Nothobranchius furzeri: one gene and its partner. The protein of the gene in region 1 purifies or fractionates together with the protein of each later gene. This does not show direct contact. Links are inferred from orthologs where the notes say so. Each region holds a gene or a part of one and is shown on either strand. Other genes may lie near its edges.

What was found.
Region 2: the proteins of polr1b (region 1) and si:ch211-140b10.6 purify together in Homo sapiens (affinity purification with mass spectrometry; 5 studies listed by BioGRID and IntAct, with this or other methods). This does not show direct contact. The link is inferred for Nothobranchius furzeri from reciprocal best matches to the Homo sapiens genes POLR1B and POLR1D.

What each region holds. Positions count from the first base shown.
Region 1 is NC_091752.1:7,757,264-7,761,816, forward strand, and holds the start of polr1b (DNA-directed RNA polymerase I subunit RPA2), read left to right. Parts: upstream 1-1,597; 5' UTR 1,598-1,668; coding exon 1,669-1,845; intron 1,846-2,606; coding exon 2,607-2,774; intron 2,775-3,995; coding exon 3,996-4,142; intron 4,143-4,207; coding exon 4,208-4,340; intron 4,341-4,403; coding exon 4,404-4,540; intron 4,541-4,553. UniProt on the Homo sapiens protein: Catalytic core component of RNA polymerase I (Pol I), a DNA-dependent RNA polymerase which synthesizes ribosomal RNA precursors using the four ribonucleoside triphosphates as substrates.
Region 2 is NC_091747.1:51,105,929-51,109,992, forward strand, and holds si:ch211-140b10.6 (protein POLR1D), read left to right. Parts: upstream 1-1,581; 5' UTR 1,582-1,726; coding exon 1,727-1,752; intron 1,753-2,083; coding exon 2,084-2,158; intron 2,159-2,594; coding exon 2,595-2,946; 3' UTR 2,947-3,442; downstream 3,443-4,064.

The DNA of each region.
Region 1 (4,553 bases):
CATGTGCTACCAGCTAAAGTTACAAGGTACTGCTCAGCCAATAGCGATGGCTAATTCAAATTCAAATGTAGTGCAGATTTTTAACCTGAAGAAGGCGGGTTTTAGGCAGAATATTTATATTTGAAATGAGATGCACTAAAGTGCCAAGAATAATGACTACACACGTCAACTAGACACTCTTAACAAAAATGTTGATTTGGGAATAGGGGTGACATGCTCTTAAATGCTGAGAGATAATCATTTCCAGGTAAATTAATTTTGTTTAGCCTACAAGCTGCAGGATTTACATGTTAAAAAAACATTTGCTTCAGTACCCATGTAATAGCTTACTGGAACATCGTTGTCAATTACCTAAACGAGAAAGGTTAGGATCTTGTCAGCCACATATAGGATAAACAAAGTGAATTTAAATGATTTTTTTTAAAACCAATTCAAATTTTTTTGCAACGTTTTGAGAAAAATACTGATATAAGTGGCTCTCTGTGTGATGAACTCCCTGAAGATAAGTTTTGTCTTTTAGTTGGGCCCTATATCCCTCATTTTCTTTAGAACATACATCGTTTCACTCACCATCCACCTGGGATAGCCAGTCTATGGGGATAGCTTATATAGCCAATTGGCATATTCAAAATTGTTTTGATAATGAGGTAAAACAATATAAAACGACATAGGCACATAGCAACTCGTTTTTTACAAACCTTTACTTAAAATCAGAACATTACAAAAATTACAAATAACATCAAAAAGAACACACATTTTACAACTCACAGTATCAGGGGGTTCATAATACGACCAGCCAGCAGAGATACACCACTGGGTGTCGCTGTCGGATGACGTCAACAGCTAACAGGCTAAAAGCCCAATAAGTACAGGAAGCTCTCGCCGGGTGCGGTGGCGCGTGCCTGTAATCCAAGCTACTGGGAGGTTTAGGCTGGCGGATCGTTTGAGCTCAGGAGTTCTGAGCTGCAGTGGACTATGTCGATCGGGTGTCCGCACTAAGTTCGGTATCGATATGGTGCTTCTGGGGAAGCCCGGGACCACCAGGTCGTCTAAGGAGGGGTGCACCGGCCCAGGTCGGAAACGGAGCAGGTCAAAGCCCCCGTGCCGCTCAGTAGTGGGATCGCGCCTGTGAATAGACACTGTAGTGCAGCCTGAGTAATACAGCGGGACTCAGTCTTTTACAAGCTTTTGTGTTAGATAGGTTATTTTACTCGCTTTCCAGATGCTGCTTTTGCACATTTTACTGCAGTTTAAGCGTTGATTCTCCCCCGCTTCTCTATTGAAAACTGCAGCTGTGTGGCTGTGACACACCGCCCCCTTCTGGAAAATACGCGACCACCAATCACATCAGCTACCCTCACAGTAGAAGTGAGCGTTGCTTCTCAACAATTACACATAAAAACAGACTTTGTTATGAGATCAACTGATGTGCTTTATGAACATGAGCAAAGAAAAAGTGAATGAAAACAGTCCCATGAGCAGCGTGACGTCAAGTGCAAAGGGAAACTGGTGTAACGCATCGTTGTCTCCACAAGAGGGCGCTAACAAATCACTCGAGAACAACAACAAAAAAAAAAAAAGCAACGACAGATCTACTTCCTGTTTCAGTGATGTACTTCCTGTTTCGTGATGTCCATGTGGTAAACAAGCGTCCCGGGTTACACCAACATGGACTTTTCAGCTAAGTGGAGTAATGTACCGACAGGACCGAGTCTAAAGAACCTGACCGATGGAGAATTCGGTAAACTGAAAGAGACGCAACACGCCGCCGTTCAGGACCTGACTAAAGCCCACATCGAGTCGTTTGATCAGGCTGTCACTGATGGACTCAACCGCCTTGTGCAGGTCAGTGAGAAAGTCAGGTTTACAATTATTTTTTCACTTTAATAATTTAAAACATCATAAATACTCCAGCAGGGATATGAGAAATGACTAAATACTACTCCTGGTTAATTTCCTCCTCTCGTTGCCCTCTTTGACTTTAACATGTTTAATCCACGTGTGTCAGATCTGGTAGACATATATCATACATGTGTCTCTAACGGCAATAAAAAACCTTTATTTAAAACGGAAACAATGAACAGTTAATTACGAAATAAAATGTAGTAAATAAATGTAATCGCTAATTTGGACCAGTTACTTTTTATGAATGAAATGTTTTCATTTCAAACTTTTCAAATTAAAAGCATGACTTCTGACCACCTGAATGAATATCTGTATTACAGTGAAAACACATAAAAAATTAGATGCAGCCCCCTTGAGTGTTCAGAAAAAAACAAAAGGATATGAAGTGTGTGTGGGGGTGGGGGGGTACACGGAGTCAATTTAGAACATAAAATTCGAGACTACAGGCTGAAATCGTATTGCACAGAAAAGTAAAATGACAAAATTGGCCAATAACATGTTTTAAAATTTAAAATTTATCATTTCTACTTCATATATCAGAAAAGGGTCAAACCTTTACTCAGCAGTAGAGCAGAAGCTTCACTAACTATTAAAGGCTGTAGATGAGGTTATTATTATTGTTATTATTTTCCTTTGGGGTCATGTTGATTTTTGGGATCGTCTGGTTGCTTTTTGGACAGTTTTTGTTTGATGTTTTCCAGGCGATTCCTCCGATAGAGTTCATGTGCAGAAATGAAAAGTTGAGCCTCACGTTCGTTGATGCAACCATCCAGAACCCGCTGGTCGCCAAAGGCAGCATCTGCACAGAGATGAAGGTGTTTCCAGCAGAATGCAGAGGAAGGAGGAGTACTTACCGAGGAAAAGTGGTGGTAAGCTAGGCTAACTCTCTCACCTCCCTGTTGGAATGAAGAAGAAAATTTCATTTCTATAGCGCCTCTCAAGATAAAAATCACGAGGCGCTTCACAAAAACAAAAAATGTAAAAATATAAAAAAGCATTTAGAAAATGTTTAAAAATACATTTAAAATGAGCAAAAATAGGCAATTGTGATTAAAAAAAATTTAATAAAGAGAGAGAGTTAATAGGAAAGAGGGAAATCAGTGGCTGGAGGAGAAGGGGGGTGATGTGGGTGTGTTTGGAGGACTTGGTCAGAAGCCGAGCACAGGCACTCTGAACCACCTGTAGATGGTTCAGGGAGGTTCTGGTCAGACACGTGAAAAGAGAGTTACAGTAGTCTAAGCGTGAGGAGATGAAGGTGTGGAGAACTGTCTCAAGTTCAGAGCGGGACAGAATGGGACTCAGTTTAGCAATGTTCCTGAGATGGAAGAAGGAAGAGCCAACAAGAGAACTGACATGAGAATCCAGGGTGAGAGCTGGGTCAAAGGTCACGCCAAGATTCCTGACAGAAGTTTTGGTGTGGGAAGCAAGCTGACCAAGAGAGTCTCTGACTTTGGGAACCAGCTTGTCTGGGGCACAGATGAGGATCTCAGTCTTATCTTCATTCAGCTGAAGAAAACTCCCAGCCATCCAGGTTTTGATAGAGTCTAAGCAGGTGTGTAACAGCTGCAGCTTAGACATCTCATGGGGCTTAAAGGAGATGTACAGTTGGATGTCATCTGCATAAAGATGGTAGGAGATTCCTTTGAAGGAGCTCAGGATGTGCTGAAGAGGAAGCAGATAGAGGAGGAAGAGCAGAGGCCCCAGCACAGAACCTTGTGGGACACCATGGGTAAGAGAGGTGGTGGAGGACCTAAACTTGGAGACGGCCACAGAAAAGAAACGCTCAGAAAGAAAAGAGGAGTACCACTCCAGAGCAGTTCCTGATAGGCCTACCCAGTCTCTCAGCCTCTCCAGTAGCAGGTGATGGTCAACAGTGTCAAAGGCTGCAGTCAGGTCCAGCAGGACCAGAACAGAACCGTCCCCTGCATCACTGTGAGTCAGAAGGTCATTAGAGACCCTAAGAAGAGCTGTTTCAGTAGAATGAGCTCTACGAAAACCTGACTGGAAGCTATCATAGATGTTCTGTTCATCAAGAGCAGCTGTGAGGTAGCAGGTTTTGTAGTGAGGCGTGTGACGATGTGTCATCTCAGGCAGACGTCAGCTGGTCCATCAACGGCTTTCCCAAAGGCATCATTAAGCAGTCCCTGGGCCAGGTGCCGATCATGGTGAAGTCAAAGCTGTGTAACCTCTACGGCATGTCCCCCAAGGAGCTCGTAAAGCATCACGAAGAAGCAGAGGTGAGCCGAGCTGACGCGACTCCTCCTGTTATTGGATGTCGTCTAAACGCTGGTTAATTGAACAGGAAATGGGAGGTTACTTCATCGTGAACGGAATCGAGAAGGTGATCCGGATGCTGATAATGCCGAGGAGGAACTATCCCATCGCCATGTCGAGACCCAAGTGGAAGAGCAGGGGTCAGGGCTACACCCAGTTTGGTGAGTAGACACTGAGAGGAGCTTCAGCTCGTTGTTCTGTGCTGATTCCTTTCTTTCGTGAAGGTATTTCTATGCGTTGTGTGAAGGAGGAGCACACAGCCATCAACATGAACCTCCATTACCTGGAAAATGGGACAGTGATGCTGAACTTCATCTACCAGAAGGAGCTCTTCTTCCTCCCTTTAGGTTTTGCTCTGAAGGTATCAGTTTACG
Region 2 (4,064 bases), on another chromosome or scaffold:
AATCATCGCACCCCTCTTTCACCTCCCTCCCCAGCTGTCTGACTTCATCCCATCCTGCAGAAGCGGAGGCGCGAGAGGACAGGACAGAAGAGGCGACAGCATCAACCCCGCTCGCTGACACAGCTCATGCAGGAGATGGATGTCTCCAGATGTGATGGATGTTTTACCTTCTTCCGGCGGCTCCTCCGCGCCGTCCACTCGGGCCCCAAAGCGGGGAGCAATTATCAGCTGCGGGGCGTCGATCACGCATTCGCCGCAACCGACGGAGAGCTCCGCAAGCCCGCAAGAAAACGCCCCCGTACCGTTGGCGCCGCTGATCCCGCCCACCGCTGCCAATCAAAAGGTGATGGGAGGAGTCTACGGAGCTGAGTTTAGAGGTGGCTTACACCGACCGCCTGTTCAAAAACAGGATCAGAACAAAAATTAGAATAGAATAGAATAGAATAGAATAGAATAGAATAGAATAGAATAGAATAGAATAGAAAAAAACAGAACAAATATATACTTAATTATCTGCCTCAAAAGTATTCTTACAGTGCTGGGTGAAGTGTATTACCCACAAGTCATTGCTGCAGGAGAAAGGGTTCAAGTTCCTTTTCTGAATATTTTCTAATGGAATGAGTTAGTTTTGGGACAATCAGTTGATGCTCTGAATGTTTTAGACAAAGCAGCAATTAATTAAAATTTATTTCAAATAATGGGTTGTTTGTTTAAAAGTTGTTAATAAAGGCTTTTGAAAAAGTATCACAGGACCAGCATCTCGGCATGCGTTGCGTTTCATGACGCAATGCTCCCTGTCTCACTTCAGCAATTATTTGCACAGTTGTAGTCCACGCACTCGAAGCCTTACTGCACACTTTCTCCAAGTGCACTTTGCTGAAGACTGCAGGGCGCAATGCGAGTATTGGCACTGGGCCTGCTTGTGATGTCACAATTGGGGACAATTTCAAATAGCTTGTTTTAGGCACAACATTTCTACAACCACACATTGGCATGTTTGGAGCGTTTATAGAGGCAGAGTGCACATGGCGGCACAAAAAGGATGCAAAAGGCATAATATGTCTTCTTTAAGAAGATTACTTCTAAATAAAAATGTTTGTTATTGTCCTTTAATGTATCACAATCTAGATTACTAAAATATCTTGCTTGATGATATTCTGTAACTATCACTTTACTTTTGATTAAGCCATTGTATGTATTTAAATTATTTTTACAATTTACCAAAGAATTAAGTTGGCTTAGTTCCCAATGGAAAATGTTTAATCAAATAAAAAATGTACAAGTTTAAATGTCACATTTTACGTTTCGATTTGAGTATAAATCCTTTTTTTTAACAAAGTGTGTTTATATATTTGTTTGATTCTATGTTTGTTTTAAAGTTATTTGTGGCCAAATGTTGCTAAAACAATCAGCTGTAAATGTTTTTCCAGGGGTGCCCCATAACTTATTGAACTTTTAAAAATATCAATTATTTTAATTAAAAAAGATCAATACATAATACACAAACATATCTACTTGTAAATAAAAAATGTAGTTTGGTTTCATAACTTATTTTCAACATGATTTTGCAACTGAACAGGCATTGCTCCGGGCAGCTAAAAACAGGGTCCGCGATTGAAGGACCTCTCGGCGAAGTGAACAAGAAATGCCTCGTAAATTAACGTAAATTTATAGGTTTTATTAGGTTTTTATTTATTTGTAAGAGTTTTTGTGTGATTAAGACGCAATGGCGGAAGAAAATGAGCTAGAAAAGTGAGTAAATGTATCTTTATTAACTTCCGTCTGAACACATTTGCAGACATTTTCCCTCTAAAATGTAACGCTGCGGAAAAACAGTCTGTTAGTAGTTCTGATCTGAGTTGTTTACTGTATTTAAAGTTGACTTGTTGACTCTAGCTGCCTGTTGTGTGTAGTTTCAGGTCGGCATAAGTAGCGAGTCCAATCTGGTGATGAGACTCATTTCGGGTCAAACAAGGACACGTCCGCTTTACTTTCATCTTATATTTCTTGTACATCTGCTCAGAATTTCTGTCCTGTTTGTCTCATGACTCATTCTCCTGGTTCTGGGTCCGGTTCCGTCTAGGCGCGCCGTGGAGGAGCTCCTGAGGGAGACTGACAGAGCCCGGGTGAGAGCAGAGACCATGGGTCCTGCAGGATGGTGAGCTCTGAAATATCTCTGACCCTCTCATGTGGATTGGCTTTCTTTCTTTTCTTTTTTCTTTTTGGATAATTACTTAGTGTCTAGTATTATTTTAAATATTAGATTATTTTGCTCATGTTCTCATTAAACCATCTGAACACACCACGTGTCTTCCTAAAAATGTTAGTTTTGCACTAAAAGTTATCTTATCTGTTGGTATTTTAATTTGAGGTCTTATATCATATATATACATTAAAGGTTTTTTTGGGGCATTTCAATCGTATGTGTGAAAATTTCTTATTTAGCCTCTTTATTCTATAGTTAAAGGGATAAAACACCCACAAAAGTCATGTTGCTGAAGTCTGATTGAATCTGTGAAATTAAATTTCTTCTTTCGGCATCAACTGCTGGATTTTTCTGGATCTGTGTCTGATGTTTGTGGATTTTTCTCCAGGTTGAAGTGTCCTCTACAGAGCACCAACAAACGCTTCTTACTCAACACCCTGCGCTCCACGGGCCTGCACCGGCGCACAGAGGAACCCCAAGCCAAATGTTCCTCCACAAGAGGACGCCTTCGGAGCGAGTCCCCGGACAGACAGCGTGACCGCAGCAGAACGCCTCCGCCTGATCACAGGAATACTGGCGGCCCCTCGGATCATAAACGTCCTCACATGGACCGCCGCACAAGTCGAGATAAGAGGCCGGACAGAGATAAGGACAGACGCAGCAGACACCAAGACGACAGAGACCGGAAACATGCCGATGGACAGAAAAGAGACAAAAAAAGACGGATTCAGACTTCATGAATGGACCGGCTTTGTTTTTAGTCTCAGGAGCTCATAACCGACTGAGAGGTGCTGCTGTTTGCTTTGTGTTTAAAAGAGAAAAACTTTATTTAAAATATCATTTTACAGAGAAATAGAGTGAGTTTTGTCTCTTTGGACGTACTGGTAGATTATTTTCTTTTTTCCCAATAAAATGCAACAGAATGAGGTCAAACAGTCTCTCTCGTGACTCATGATGAGGTGTAACCGTGTTCGTCACAGGAGGGGGACCTAATCTCTATTATAACGCCATTACTATTCATCACGTGTCATGATGTTTACATAGGCCACGCTGCTGTCGCCACAGAGTAAGCATGTTTTATCATTTTTTGACATGCCGTCAAAAACTGGTTTGTTACTCAATGAAAAAGCTAAAAAACATTTCATTTATTTTGTTTCAGGAACAATCTGTTGATTTTGTGTGATTGTCCTCACTTTGAGATGGCAGATGGCCATTAAATCTTTCCATTTTTTCTGACTCCACTGTCTTTTATTATTTCTACAACTTTACAGGGACGAAAGTGTCTGATTCTGATTGCCTCCCTTCTTAACGGGCAACACGCCTCATAAATCACATATGGAACAGCCTGGGTTAACAATTTCCTTCCTCTTTACAACAATGATCAAATATAAAGGCCATTAGGCCATATTGCAGGGGGGTGTTTTGCATAGAAATGGCTCACCTGGACTTTATTGCACCGTTGAGTGCTGCCATTAAGATTCATTGGAAAGTGCTATAATTGCTTTTGAAGATCTGAGTGCAAATAGTCTATCGAAGCTGCGCAGACTATCAAAATAAAAGCCGGCTCGTCCCGCGTGACAAACATGCGTCTGAAAGTCGTGCGTAAAAGGCCGTGGAGACGCGCGCTCCAAACGCGCACGGCGGTTAATTGAGTTCAGTTGGTCTCTTCATGATAATTGACTAACCAAGAGGGCTATTGTTAAATGGGGCGAGGACACACAAAGATTAATGGCCAGCAAACACGAGGAGAGTGCAGCAGAGTTGTGTTTGTCGTCGCCAAGGTTTTTTTTATCGTCTGAGGCAGCGCGCGCAAAAATGGTGTTAAATGATGCATTTAGAAAAGTGTAATGGACAGATT